Macaca mulatta: one gene and its partners. The protein of the gene in region 1 purifies or fractionates together with the protein of each later gene. This does not show direct contact. Links are inferred from orthologs where the notes say so. Each region holds a gene or a part of one and is shown in the gene's direction. Other genes may lie near its edges.

Region 1 (5,893 bases):
CTACTTTCGAATGAGGGGTGAGGGCTGGGGGGTGACAGGAGGTGGTTGGGGGCACCAACTGCGTGCAGTCGAAAATCCCTGCATAGCTGCAAGACTCTGTCCCCCCCAAAAAAAAAGAAAAGAAAAGAAAAGAAAATCCCTGCAAACTTTTTTGTTTGTTTGTTTGTTTGTTTTTGAATTGGAGTGTGGCTCTGTCGCCCAGGCTGGAGTGCAGTGGAATGATCTTGGACTCACTGCAACCTCCGCCTCCTGGGTTCAAGCGATTCTCCTGCCTCAGCCTCCCAAGCAGCTGGATTACAGGCATCCACCACCACTCTCGGCTCATTTTTAGCAGAGTTGGGGTTTCACCATATTGGCCAGCCTGGTGTCAAACTCCTGATCTCAAGTGATCCACCGCTTGGCATCCCAAAGTGCTGGGATTACAGGTGTGAGCCACCATGCCCGGCCCCTGCATACTTTTGAATCTCCCAAAACTACCAATAGCCTACTGTTGACGGAAAGCCTTGCCAATAACATGAACAGTCAATTAACACATACGTTGTATGTTATATGTATTATGCACTGTATTCTTGCAATAAAGTAAGCTAGAGAAAAGAGCATGTTATTAAGAAAATCATAAGGAAGAGATGTACATTTACTACTCAATAAGTGGAAGTGATCATCATAAACATCTTCGTCCTCATTATCTTCATGTGGAGGCTGAGGAGGGGAAGGAAGAGGAGGGGTTGATTCTGCTGTCTCAAGGGTGGCAGCAGCAGAAGAGGTGGAGGAGATGGAAGGGGAGACAGGAGAGGCAAGCACACTCGGTGTAACTTTTATTGAAAAACATCCATGTACAAGTGGACCTGCTCAGTTCAAACCCATGTTAAGGGTCAATTGTATAGTAATCTGTATGTATGTAACCTGGTGATGACCAGTCATTTCTCTTTTTCTTTCTCTCTCTTTCTTTTAAAGAGACAGGGTCTTGCTCTGTCGCTTAGGCTGGCATGAAAAGCACAATCACAGCTCATGGCAGCTTCAAACTCCTGGGCTCAAATGAGCCTCCCACATTAGCCTCCTGAGCAGCTGGGACTACACGCATAAGCCACTGCACCTGGCTTATTTTTTGTTTTTGTGGAGATGGGGGTCTTACTGTATTGTTCCGGCTGGTCTCAAACTCCGGGACTCAAGAAGTCCTCCAGTTTTGGCCTTCCGAAGTGCTGGGGTTACAGGCATGAGCCATGGTGGCAAGCCCTCATCAGTTATTTTTCTATGATTCTGTCTCGCTGTCCCCTCCTTACAAGGAAAGTAATTTTGAAACAACCAATCCAGTCTTGGTTCTTTGTTTCTGCTTTCTTCAGCCCTTCTCTGTCTATAAAATCAACCTCTTCTGCTCAGCTCATGGGAGCACTTATTCTAATTTAATAGAGGTGTTGCCCAATTCTAGAATCACAAATAAAATTAAGAACTTTAACAACAAAAGTTAAAAAATGAGAATCAGCAACAACAACAACAGAAAAGATCTTTAAATGTGTTGTAATTTTCTCCTTTGACAGGTTACAAGTGCAATTGAATAAACCAAACAAAAAATGTCATGGTTAGGTTCGGTCTTTACTTCCCAAATGAGGGTCAAGATGTAAGACAGCAAGAACCAACTTCTACCATAAAAAAGATCCGAATCCAAGAAAATGTGATTTTTCTTTAAAGCTGTTCACCGCAACGAAAGTTTCTTTTTAGTCTAGGAGACTAAAAGCCATCAGCTGACACAATCTCTTTTTTTCTTGAAGTTTCCAAAGGAAGGCAGGTGAGTTTGCACTAACTTCCATTTTCTCCCTGGCTTCCTTCTGGTGTCAGATGAGCGTCCCCGCGCTCCTCCCGGACAGCCCTCATGGTCCCCGGCTATCATATATGGGGGGGTTGGGGGGTGGGGGTGGGGTGGGGGTGGGCGAGATGGCTTTGTACAGGAAAGAGGGGCGGCAGGCACGGGGAGCACGGGCTCCAGCCCCAGGAACACTCAGTCGGCGCAAAGGAGAGGGAGAGAGCGAGTGCGAAAGCCGAAACCCTCCCGGGGCCACGGAGTAAGCCCCCAGTACCGCTCCTCCGGCGCCCCACCCGCAGGCGGACCCCGAAGACGCGCCCGCGCCCGCCCCCGGCGACTCCGGCCCGGGCACGCGCACGAGACGGCGGGGGGAGGGGCGGGAGAAGGTGGGGGAGGGGCGAGCGGGGAGAGGCCCCGCCCCGACCCCTCAGCCCCGCCCCGGCCCCTCAGCCCCGCCCGCCGCGATTATAGCGGATGACTCAGGGCGGAGCTCCGCGTCCAACCCCGGGCCGCGGCCAACTTCTCTGGACTGGACCAGAAGTTTCTAGCCGGCCAGTTGCTACCTCCCTTTATCGCCTCCTTCCCCTCTGGCACCGAGGAGGCTATTTCCAGACACTTCCACCCCTCTCTGGCCACGTCACCCCCGCCTTTAATTCATAAAGGTGCCCGGCGCCGGCTTCCCGGACACGTCGGCGGCAGAGAGGGGCCCACGGCGGCGGCCCGGCCAGAGACTCGGCGCCCGGAGCCCGCGCCCCACACCCGCGCCCCGGCGGGCAGACCCCGACCCAGTATGAGCGCCGCCACCCACTCGCCCATGATGCAGGTGGCGTCCGGCAACGGTGACCGCGACCCCCTGCCCCCCGGCTGGGAGATCAAGATCGACCCGCAGACCGGCTGGCCCTTTTTCGTGGACCACAACAGCCGTACCACGACGTGGAACGACCCGCGCGTGCCCTCTGAGGGCCCCAAGGTGAGCTGGGCCCGCGGCCCGCCCTGGTCGGCGGCGCCACCTCGACGGCAGGCGGCGGGGAGTGGGTTGGGCCGGGGGGACGCCAGGCGGCGGGGCCCGGTGGTCGGCGAAGGCCCCTTGCGGGCGGACACCGGCTCCGCGCCCCGCCACACACTCCCGGTGCTCCCGGACGAGTCCCCGCTCCGGACCCGCCCTTTACAGGAGTCGGGGCGAGAGGAGGCCCCGCGATCCGGTGGTCCGGGAAGCGACCCCGCAGTGGGTCCGGTGCGGTCCACGGCTCGACTCGGGGCGGAGGGCCGCGTGTCCGACGCTGGCCTCACGCTCCCGGGCTCGGAGGGGGCGGCCGGCCTGGTCAGCTCCGGAGGCTCCGGCCCGCCGCGGCCCCTGCTGCCGGCTCGGCCTCCGGTCCCGGGACCCGCGGCGCACCCCGCTGACCGCGGACTCGAGGGGGACCCTCGCAAGCTTGGATGGTGGTTTTTGGGAGGAATTTTACCGCTCAAGTTCTCCAACTTGGTTGAGGGGTATCTTGTTTGCTGTCCCATCTTAGGCACCCAATGACTCAGGAGGCTGGTGTCAAAACATTCATATATATGTGCGCGCGCGTGTGTGTGTATTTTAAATTAAAATTGTATTATTGTTTGAAAGTGCTTTCAATACGAATGTATCCTAGTATGACTTGTAAAATATAAAAGAGGGTGCACTTCTCCCCAGCAGTTTCTAAACTAGAGATCTGAGACTTACAGTTGGCCATTGCCTTACCACATTGCCTCACACTGGAAAGAGAATGATACGTGTATATTTATAATGGCATTCGCTTCCTGCCTTGTTATGGTATTAAAATACTTAGAATTTGTTACCAGTACACAAATAACAGAGTAATGATACTCTTGGGAATACAGCAGAAGTATGTCTCATTTACATATATGCAACGATATTCCTAATCCCCAAGAGCATGAAATTTGAAAACGTAAATTTGGAATGAGTCTGTTAATTTTCAAAAATCATAGTTATACTATTCGTTCAATTTTATATAAATTTGAGCTTTCAAAATAAAAAGTTTTTTTAAAAAAATATGTTATACTTAAAGCGTAATTGTTACTGCCGTCTGGGCAAGATAAAAGCAGCAAAGAGCTGGTAAATTATTTTGAAGATTTTAAAACTCACCAAATTAAAAATACTTTGTAACCCATTATTTTAGAAGAAAGACCTGTATTATTTCCCTTCATTTTAATGCACTTTTTGTTTTAACAATATTGATAAAACTCCGGTGCCCAACAGTGAGACACTGTACAGGCAGCAGTTTACATTTACGAGAGATTACTTGTGTATTTATTCTTGAAAATTAATACAAGAGGCTGTAATTAGCTGGGGTGGGCACAGTTGCATATACCTTTTTGTGTGTGTGTTCAGCCCATTTTTGGGTGAAACTGACACTCATTTCAAACCACCTTTCTTAGGCGTCTGCGTGGATGTACCTGATCTTTAGTGTGGTTTGCAACTATTATTTTGAGGCCTTCTTCCTGTGGACATAGGGACAGTGGTATCTGCTGGCAGCCTTTGTTGTGAGTGAAGATCAAGTTTGAACATAGACATTCCCAGCACTTTGTTCTCAGCATGAAACTTACCCAGCAAGTTGAGATATTCCTGTACCCACCTGGTGCATGGGTTAGGCTGTGGTTTCATAAACCTTATTAAAAGAAAAAAAGCAGGTTTAGCTGCCATTATTCTTCTCAATAAATAAAAAGTAAGAACTATTACATCAGAAGTCTGATGCTGGAAAGGTTTCTTTGAAAATTTCATAGTCAAAATTTTTAAGTTGAAAGGTCCTTGAAGATCTCTTAGTTAGAAGATCTCTTATTTTCTGAAAAACCCAGAGAATTCAGGTGTGACTTTGAAGGTCATCCAGCTAGTACCAATTACAGGGAGAGAACTAATGTCAGGAAAGTTCTAGTAAGAGGTGGTGTGTCTGTTAGAAGTTGGAAGTGAATGTTTTGTGAAACTGAAGCATGCAGGCTAGAATACCTGATTATCTTTGTGCCCTCCTGGCCACCAAGTTATTGGGTCACTGACCTCTGTGCTGTGGTTGCTTGGATTTTGATGATGGGACATCATCAACTCAAGAAAAGAGTTCTCTTTACGAAGTGAATGACTTGAGACTTGTCAGCATGGCACCAAAACTTAAGGAGAAAACTAACATTCAGCCCATTAGCTGTTTGTGCTTCATTGCTTTCAACCCTGTTCTTAGACACACACAATATCTGGTTGCACTTGTGTGAATTACACCTTGCTGGAGACTAAATGTAGTGGAGAATCCTAGAATATCATTTTGTATTTGGAATGGGCTTCTCAATGCATCATGAGAAAAGGGCCCTTGCATAAAACAAAGGGTGGCTTTGGAGGAGCTGAGCTGAGGCCCGTGTGAGCATCATCATTTTCAAGAGGAAATGCTGTCAATCAGTAAAAAGCTGTTCATTGAGCATGAGGAGCTCCAGAGACGACCTCTCCTTTGGGGGAGGACTCAGCTTCACGATGTTTAAAATTTAACCACGTTAGTAAGAAAATGGAAAGAAAAGACTAGACCTTTGTATTTAGTCTTCTACTGCCGTCTTGCAATTGATCCTCTGCCTTCTCCTGAAGTGGTTAGGACAACTCCCTGTTTTCACAGAGGGGCAGAGCGAAAGCAAGTGTCTTCTGTCATTGCTGAAGCAGGATGGCTGCCGGCAAAGATGTTGTGCTTCATCCAGTCCCATTCTAAGCAGCTGGGCCTCCCCACCTGCAGTCTCCCTAAAGTTTGATTTTCTGCACACTTGGGCTTCCCACTAATTTGGCAAGTTCATACCAGTACAGGCCCCTTTTTGGCAGAGGTTGGCATTCAGTGCTGGTGCAGCCACTCCTCCAGGCTCCTCCCTGAATAAACAGAACAGAGGCTGGATATTCTGGAGTGCTGTTCCCGCCAGGCCTCCTTGGGATGAAAGGGAGACTTTTCTCCCTCATGGAGCGGGGCCGCTCTAGCTCTGTGGATCTTGTGGGTTACCAGCCTGGCAGTCTCCAGGGACTGTTAAGAACACAGATTGAGGCTGTGTCTCATCACCTCCCTGCCCCCAACCCCATGTTCAAATCTGAAT
Region 2 (4,323 bases), on another chromosome or scaffold:
ATGGGTGGGCAGGCAGCTGTTGTCAGGAAGCCCAGGGCAAGCCCAGCCTGGAAGGGCCCAGAGGGTTGTGGCCTGAGGAGGGCGTCAAGGTGGAGTCTGTCTGTAGGAGTTGGGCATGGGGGTTAGGGTAGGCTCTTCCCAGGGGTCCTTCCACGGTGTTCTCCGGGAACCTGCCCCACCAGCAGGGTAGTGAGGGCAGTGGTCGCCCTACCACACACATCCTCCTACACAGTCCTCACACAGCTCTGAAAACCCACCCGGCGTCCTGCCCCTTGGGAAAGTGCTGGCCCAATGCGTCTGGGGACCCTGAACCTCAGTTTCTTCCCTGATGGAGATGACTTTCAGATATGGCCTGTTGGGGGCACTCCAAGCTCCAGCTCCCTGGTCAGCATCCCCGGCATGTGGGTGGGGCCACTAGCTGATCCCAGCCCTGGAGTTGGACCTGGGCCCACATGGGTGGGTGAGGTGGGCTTTTCTGAGTTAGGCCAGTCCCCTCCCCCTCCCCTGACCCCAGGATGGAGGGAGATGGGAGGGGTGAGGGCTGGCCGTGGGCCCAGGCCTGGGAGATGAGGTAACGTCTGGGACTGGGGGGTTGGGCTGCTCAGGCTGACTCACCCCCACCTCATGCAGGGTCCAGCCCCCTGGCTTTTTCCCTCCTTGGTTCCTCTGGCCTTACCCTGCTCCTGGCCTGAGCCCCTCCCTGCCTCTCTCCAGCCACCCACCCAGCGCTGTCTCCTGCTCTCCTGCCGCCCTCTCCATGCTCTGAACACTCCTCATCCTCTGCTTTCTGCCCTCCTCACTCTGGGAAGGGAAGCCGTCCCCGCCCCCTACCCCCTCTCCAGGAGCCAGCTAGCTGCTCCTGTGCACCCCAAGACCTCCATCTCGGGCTCAGCCCACACCTCCCAGGAGCCAGCCCTGTGGGCAGGGAGTGGCTGGGCCAGGTTTCCCTTCTACTGACTCACCATGACCTTGAGTAAGTCACTTCCCCTCTGGGGTGTCACTTCCCCACATACCGTATAAGGGGTTGATTTAGTTGGATTGAACTAAAGGTGAGGGAGGGGCTCAGGATGTCTCCAGGTGGACTGGCCCCCCGGTTGGGCCCCCATGCTCAGCAGAGGTGGCCCACAGTGCCTTAGGGTCAGGGACACTTCCTGGCCTTGCCTCTTACTAGCTGGGTGACTTGAGGCAAGTTGTTTAACCTCTCTGTGTGTATTTTCTTTTTTCCTTTTTTCTTTTTCTGACGGAGTCTTGCTCCGTCGACCAGGCTGGAGTGCCGTGGCGCCATCTCGGCTCACTGCAAGCTCTGCCTCCCGGATTCACGCCATTCTCCTGCCTCAGCCTCCCGAGCAGCTGGGACTACAGGTGCCCACCACCACACCCGGCTGATTTTTTGTATTTTTAGTAGAGACGGGGTTTCACCATATTAGCCAGGATGGTCTTGATCTCCTGACCTGGTGATCCACCCACCTCAGCCTCCCAAAGTGCTGGGATTACAGGCGTGAGCCACTGCGCCCGGCCTCTGTGTACATTTTCAAGTGCAAAATGGGTAAAATCCCTGATTACTCCACAGGGTTGTTGGAAGATTCAGTGTCAATATGTAGCATACTTGGTGCTCAATAAACGGAAGCAACTGTTCTTATTTAGCGAGTGAGGAAGGGGCCACTGAGCTCTCTTAGCCTTCTGACCTCCCATGCAAGCAAGAAATCATGTTGAGCCCAGCTCGCCTTTCTTTTCCTGGTGCTGTCAGGCTCTGTGTCTGGCTGCCCTGCCCTCTGACATCTCTCTGAAACCTCTTGCCTCCCTTTTCCCTGTCTCAGCCCAGTCTGTGCACTGGCCCACCTGAGGAGCCTCCTGGGGCCTCTGGCAGCCTGGACCCCCCAGATCCCCCCCACCCAGTGAAATTGTCTTCCAGCACTGCCTCACAAAAGCCTACTTACTGCAGTACCAGGCCTCTTGCCAGATGGCTGGGTGGCCCCTTGGGCTCAGACCCAGTCAAGCTGCCCCGCCTGTGTTGCTGGGGCTGGCCTCGAGGCCTGGAAGGGGATTATCAGGGTCACCCCTCTCAGGGCCTGGGAGATACCCCATCCCAGACATTAAAACTGCCAGTGGCTCCTCTACCCTCAAAGCCAAGTCCTAGTTCCTTCTGGCATTCAAAGCCATCATAAGTAAACTCACCCGCTAGGCAGCACACCCCATTCTCCTTTACCGAGGCTCACAGCGTCCTTGAAGTCATTCCTGATGGTCTCAGCTCATCCTGGTGGCAGCCGTTTCTCCCAGCCTACTGTCTCCTCTCATTGCCACAGGAACCAGGGACTCCCAGCTCAATAGCCTGAAGGATTGGGGTTGGAGAAAGTTGGCAGTTGAGGGCTTGGGCGTGACACCCATGTATGGCCTGTGAAGCCCCGGCTGTCACCTTAGGCCCCATTCAGGCAGTGTTCACAGGGAACCGGAAGATAACAGGGCCTGTTCTGGCGCTCAGAGGGTCCTAGGAGACCGCTGCAGATGGCCCCTCACAGGGTGCTGGGGGGTAAGAGGTCCGTAAGAGCCCCGGGTGGTTTCAGGGAGGAAGCTGCCCCCTGCATGGGTCAGACGGCATATCTGGTAGGTGGAGCGGCCTGGGCAGGAAGCCAGCAGGAGCCTCAAAAGGCAATGGTCCTCCTGAAAAACTTGGGCTTTAGCCTGAGCCTGGCTGTTTGTGGACATCATAGCAATTTCTGGACTGTGTGGGAGGGTCGTGGTGGTGAATAAATAAGCAGTGTGACTGGGGAAATTGTGAAGCTCAGGTGAGTGCCACCACCTGGCTTGCTTTAGTGTCCAGCAGCTGCCTAGAACTCTGTTGAATAAGAGCTCTCTGGGTTCTGGAAGTGGGGCAGCTTTGGGTGGGGCAGGGTTACCACCATCAACCTGGCTTGGGTCTGCAGGAGCCAGGGCCTCAGTCACTTTGCTTCTCTCTCCATAGCTCACTCCTGGAGGCAAAGCGGCGCAGGCCGGAGTGGCCGTCGGTGACTGGGTGCTGAGCATCGATGGCGAGAACGCAGGGAGCCTCACACATATCGAAGCTCAGAATAAGATCCGGGCCTGCGGGGAGCGCCTCAGCCTGGGCCTCAGCAGGTATGCGGGTGGGCATGCATGGGTGCAGGTGGGCATGCATGGGTGCGTGGGCGCTGGCGGAGGGGATCCCCGCGGGCCCAGCCCGCTGTCATGCTTTCCTTCTTCTCCAGGGCCCAGCCAGTTCAGAGCAAACCACAGAAGGTAGGAGGCAGGCCGAGACATCTGGGTGCGGGCGGTGTGGGCTTGGACGGCCGGGCCTGCTCGCCCTCCTGGCACATTCTCGGTACCCCAATCCCTGGCCGGAAGTGGAGGGTGGAAACGAGCTAAGGCGGGTCTAGGGCCCTGGAGTTGAGCCAGGGGCTGCCGCACGGTCCTGGCACCACGCATGTCCGCCTGTCTGTCCGCCTGCCTGCCTCCCGCCATCGGCGCTGCGTGCTCGCCCGCACTGGGTCAGCCCTCGGTCCTGCGTGGACTGAGATCAGCACTCCCAAATGGGCCCCTTGAAACCTGTTGTCCTCTCCCCTTAGCCTCCAGACAGATGTGGGGGGTGGGGGTGGGGGGCTGGAGCTGCCGCTGTCCTCTCGCGCAGGCGCCCCACTCCCACCCAGGTCACCACCCTACCCCGCCCGCCCGCCCTGCCCGGCTCTGTCTCTGCCCAGGCCTCCGTCCCTGCCGCGGACCCCCCGCGGTACACCTTTGCACCCAGCGTCTCCCTCAACAAGACGGCCCGACCCTTCGGGGCGCCCCCGCCCGCTGACAGCGCCCTGCAGCAGAATGGGTACGTCGGCCCCTGCCCGCCCGCGCCCACGCCCACGCTATCAGGCCCCCTGTGGCCCCACGCCCGCTGCCCGCTGCTGCTCAGTCTGTGCTGCGCCCCAGCCTGGCGGAACCGTGCGGCAGCGACCCCTGGCGGCCGGGGTGGGGCTGCAGGCACAGGGCCCCTCCCGAGGCTGTGGCGCCTTGCAGGGCACCGCCCTGGGGAGGGGTCTCTGAATGAGGCCGCGCCCTTCGCTGGCGGCTGGGGGTTGGGTTGTGGTGTCGGGCCAGCTGAGCCCCAGACACTCAGTGCCGCCTTGTCCCCGGCTGTTCTGACCCCTCCCCATCTTTCTTCCTCTCCTGTGCCTGTCCCTTTGTCCCTTTATCTGTCTATCTGTCTTATTTCCTTCACAGGTGCAGACCCCTGACAAGTCAGTGAGCCCCCTCTGCCTGTCCCTCTCTTCTTCCTTTTGGCACTCTGGGCGGCGGCCCCTCCCCACCCTAGCTGCCCTCCTC
Region 3 (3,966 bases), on another chromosome or scaffold:
GCCTGGTGGACGGGGAGGGTCTGTGGGGCTCCCTCAGCCCTGGGGCTCCTGGGATCGGGCCCCACTGACCCAGCCTGGTCTGTTGCAGTGAGAATGAGGCTCTGTGGCGGGAGGTGGCCAGCCTTCGGCAGAAGCATGCCCAGCAACAGAAAGTCGTCAACAAGGTGGGGGCAGGGCCAGAGGGCCGGCGGGGGCCCCACAAGGGCCGGGGTGACTGTGTCCTCTCTCCCCACAGCTCATTCAGTTCCTGATCTCACTGGTGCAGTCAAACCGGATCCTGGGGGTGAAGAGAAAGATGTGAGGTTTTGGGGACGCCTGCATCCGCCACCCAGGGCCCAGGGCCGTCCTCCTCCTCTGTCAGCTGTGCCCCGAGGTAGGGGGTGGCAGCTGACTTGCACCCTTCCCCACAGCCCCCTGATGCTGAACGACAGTGGCTCAGCACATTCCATGCCCAAGTACGGCCGGCAGTTCTCCCTGGAGCACGTCCACGGCTCGGGCCCCTACTCGGTGAGTGCTGGAGGCAGGGCACCCGTCCAGGCCTGCGGGCGCAGTGGGGTGTGTTGCCCTGGCCGGCGCTGCACGAGCCTCCTGTCTTTGATTGCAGGCCCCCTCCCCGGCCTACAGTAGCTCCAGCCTCTACGCCCCCGATTCTGTGGCCAACTCCGGACCCATCATCTCCGACATCACCGAGCTGGCTCCTGCCAGCCCCGTGGCCTCCCCCGGCGGGAGCATAGACGAGAGGTGGGGGCCGCATCACCCCAGCCATCCTGTCCCCCAACGAGGCGAGCCCCTGTGGGCCCAGGGCAGAGTTGGGGATGAGGTGGGGCTGGCCAAGACACCAGCTAACGTGGCCCCCCTCGTGTCCAGGCCCCTGTCTAGCAGCCCCCTGGTGCGTGTCAAGGAGGAGCCCCCCAGCCCGCCTCAGAGCCCCCGGGTAGAGGAGGCGAGTCCCGGGCGCCCATCTTCCGTGGACACCCTCTTGTCCCCGACCGCCCTCATTGACTCCATCCTGCGGGAGAGTGAACCTACCCCCGCCTCCGCCACAGCCCTCACGGATGCCAGGGGCCACACGGACACCGAGGGCCGGCCTCCCTCACCCCCGCCCACCTCCACCCCTGAAAAGTGCCTCAGCGTAGCCTGCCTGGACAAGTGAGTGCCGCCCCACCCACAGCCCCTGGAGGCACAGCCCTGGGCTTCAGCTCAGACTGTCCCAGAGGGCAGCTGGCAAGGCAGGACCCTACCCCTAACCTCGGAGCTCTGGGCTGGGGAGGGAGACAGGTGCCAAACAGATCACCCCACAATCCCAAACGCCACAGAAGCCAAGGGCGTGTCCGGGCAGGCTGCTGGGCCCTGCTCTCAGCCACCCCTCCTGCTGCTGCCACCCTCTTGCCACAGGCCACAGGTCCTGGCAGGTCGTGCTGCCCAGACAGATGGCAGGAGATGGTGAGCAGGGCCTGGCCTCCACACCCCCAGGCTTGCCCAGCCCCTGCCTGCAATGGGGGCTCTTGTTTTTGTATCTTGCAGTTTGGCTCGCACTCCACAGATGTCTGGGGTCGCCCGCCTCTTCCCCTGCCCCTCTTCCTCTCCGCATGGCCGAGTCCAGCCAGGGTTAGCGCTGACCCCACTGGGGTGGGAGGAGGGCCCTGCCAGAGCTCGGGCCCTCCCACACAGCCGTGGACCAGACCCAGCCTGACGGGGCATGAGCATCGGGTCTGGGCGGCATCGTCCTAAGCTCCTCTGTGGCTGGGGCTCAATGTCATCATGGCTCCCCTGGCCATGGGCCTGTGGTCATTGCCTGTGACAGGGACAGGTCTCCCTGGCCTGGCACGGCCTCTGGTGCTGGCAGGATCCAAACTGTGGTGCTGACTGCACTTCCTGCCAGGTGGGGTCTCCAGGGCACCTCTGGTACCCAGCCTGGCTGCCTGTCCCATGGCCCAGGTGTGCCCCATGGCCTAGTGCTTTCTTGGTCACAGCCACCAGACTGTGGGTCTCATTCCCACAGCAGCACCAGGGCAGGGACTGAGCCACCCACACACTGAGCACAGCCCCAGCCATTTTCCCAGTGTAACAGGAAACCTCACCAACCCTGAAAACTGAAATCCCTGATCCTCGTGCTAGAGCTGAATACGCCCCTTGTCTCCTGGGTCCTCTGCCACCAAGGCCTCCAGGCCTCATGGCGAAGGGATGCCCAGCATGGGCCCAGCCGCACCCGAGGGCACAGAGCCTCCACCACCTTCCAGGCAGTCTTCGAATGCACTGCCCCCTCCAGCCTGTGCAGGCATACACGGGGGTGCGGCCTGGGGGATACAGTCAAGGGGAGCCCTTCTCCCACAGGAGCGCATCGGGGTGTGGGGCCTGGGGCACTGGTTCAGCTACCCCCTCATCCCGGGCCAGGAATGAGCTCAGTGATCACTTGGATGCTATGGACTCCAACCTGGACAACCTGCAGACCATGCTGAGCAGCCACGGCTTCAGCGTGGACACCAGCGCCCTGCTGGACGTGAGTCGCGTCCTGTCCCGCCCCGCCCCGCCCCGCCCCGCCCCCAGGTGCTGTTCTGACTTCCCTCCCTCCTCTGCAGCTGTTCAGCCCCTCGGTGACCGTGCCCGACATGAGCCTGCCTGACCTTGACAGCAGCCTGGCTAGTGTGCGTAGGCGGGCGGGGGGTGAGGGGGAACAAGACCAGCAGGAGCGCTCACGATACCATCTCCACCCCACAGATCCAAGAGCTCCTGTCTCCCCAGGAGCCCTCCAGGCCTCCCGAGGCGGAGAACAGCAGCCCGGATTCAGGTGAGCCAAGTCCCACCAACCCCCTCTCTGCCCCTGACCCCCCACCGCCTTGACACCCCCACCCCCGCAGGGAAGCAGCTGGTGCACTACACAGCACAGCCACTGTTCCTGCTCGACCCCGGCTCCGTGGACACCGGGAGCAGCGACTTGCCGGTGCTGTTTGAGCTGGGGGAGGGCTCCTACTTCTCCGAAGGGGACGGCTTCGCAGAGGACCCCACCATCTCCCTGCTGACAGGCTCAGAGCCTCCCAAAGCCAAGGACCCCACTGTCTCCTAGATGCCCCGGAGGAGCTGGGCCAGCCGTGGCCTGCCCACCCCCACCCCCAGTGCAGGGCTGGCCTTGGGGAGGAGAGGCAGCCTCGAGGTCCTGGGCACTGGTGGGTTGGCCACCACAGCCCCAGTAGGACAAACAGGGGCTCAGGTCTGGGCAGCACCTCTGGTCAGGAGGGTCACCCCGGCCTCCCAGTCTGCCTTCCCCCAACCCCGTGTCCTGTGGTTTGGTTGGGGCTTCGTAGCCACACCTGGACTGACCCTGCAGGTTGTTCATAATCAGAATTGTATTTTGGATTTTTACACAACTGTCCCATTCCCTGTTCCATAGAGATATACAGATATATACACACAGGTGGATGGACGGACGGACGGACAAGACAGGCAGAGATCTATAAACAGACAGGCTTTATGCGGTGGCCTCCCATGTGTTTCCTCTGTCCCAGGGTAGTACGGTGGATGGGGGTGCAGTGAGGAGGAGCCCAGGGCACAGAAGGGCTGGGCTGCAGTGGCCTCCTGGGGGAAGGCGGACGCTTGCAGCTAGCCCCATGCCTGCCCAACTCCGCAGGACCAGAGACCGGGGTGGGCACCCTGGCCCTGCAGGTCTCTCGTCGTCAGACCACCAGGAACCCCATTCCCAAGGTGTTTGCACTCAGGGACAGGGGATGCAGGGCAGGCACACTGTCTTCCTGCCATAGTGCCCTCCTATGTAGGCACAGGCAACAGAAGCCTGTCCCATAGCTTCAGGGTTTTCCACTCAGCCTGGTGGAGGAAGGGAAGGGGGCCTGGGGTGGGCAGTGGAGCAGGCTTTGCTTCTTTATCTGGCAGCAACAGCTTGTTCTTGAGCTCCATTGGCCAACAGGTGGGGACAGGCACAGGAGCCTATGTGGGATGGAGGAATCGAACCCA

What was found. The genes of interacting proteins can lie anywhere in the genome.
Region 2: the proteins of BAG3 (region 1) and PDLIM7 purify together in Homo sapiens (affinity purification with mass spectrometry; 3 studies listed by BioGRID and IntAct, counting the BioPlex papers as one, with this or other methods). This does not show direct contact. The link is inferred for Macaca mulatta from reciprocal best matches to the Homo sapiens genes BAG3 and PDLIM7.
Region 3: the proteins of BAG3 (region 1) and HSF1 purify together in Homo sapiens (affinity purification with mass spectrometry; 3 studies listed by BioGRID and IntAct, with this or other methods). This does not show direct contact. The link is inferred for Macaca mulatta from reciprocal best matches to the Homo sapiens genes BAG3 and HSF1.

The regions. Positions count from the first base shown.
Region 1 is NC_133414.1:131,747,150-131,753,042, forward strand, and holds the start of BAG3 (BAG family molecular chaperone regulator 3), read left to right. Parts: upstream 1-2,292; 5' UTR 2,293-2,588; coding exon 2,589-2,768; intron 2,769-5,893. UniProt on the Homo sapiens protein: Co-chaperone and adapter protein that connects different classes of molecular chaperones including heat shock proteins 70 (HSP70s), e.g. HSPA1A/HSP70 or HSPA8/HSC70, and small heat shock proteins (sHSPs), e.g. HSPB8.
Region 2 is NC_133411.1:186,476,043-186,480,365, reverse strand, and holds part of PDLIM7 (PDZ and LIM domain protein 7), read left to right. Parts: intron 1-2,959; coding exon 2,960-3,111; intron 3,112-3,221; coding exon 3,222-3,252; intron 3,253-3,710; coding exon 3,711-3,829; intron 3,830-4,221; coding exon 4,222-4,242; intron 4,243-4,323. UniProt on the Homo sapiens protein: May function as a scaffold on which the coordinated assembly of proteins can occur. May play a role as an adapter that, via its PDZ domain, localizes LIM-binding proteins to actin filaments of both skeletal muscle and nonmuscle tissues.
Region 3 is NC_133413.1:154,708,725-154,712,690, forward strand, and holds the end of HSF1 (heat shock factor protein 1), read left to right. Parts: intron 1-88; coding exon 89-164; intron 165-235; coding exon 236-297; intron 298-410; coding exon 411-507; intron 508-604; coding exon 605-741; intron 742-867; coding exon 868-1,149; intron 1,150-1,524; coding exon of another isoform or gene 1,525-1,608; intron 1,609-2,394; coding exon 2,395-2,500; intron 2,501-2,579; coding exon 2,580-2,645; intron 2,646-2,718; coding exon 2,719-2,788; intron 2,789-2,858; coding exon 2,859-3,064; 3' UTR 3,065-3,466; downstream 3,467-3,966. UniProt on the Homo sapiens protein: Functions as a stress-inducible and DNA-binding transcription factor that plays a central role in the transcriptional activation of the heat shock response (HSR), leading to the expression of a large class of molecular chaperones, heat shock proteins (HSPs), that protect cells from cellular insult damage.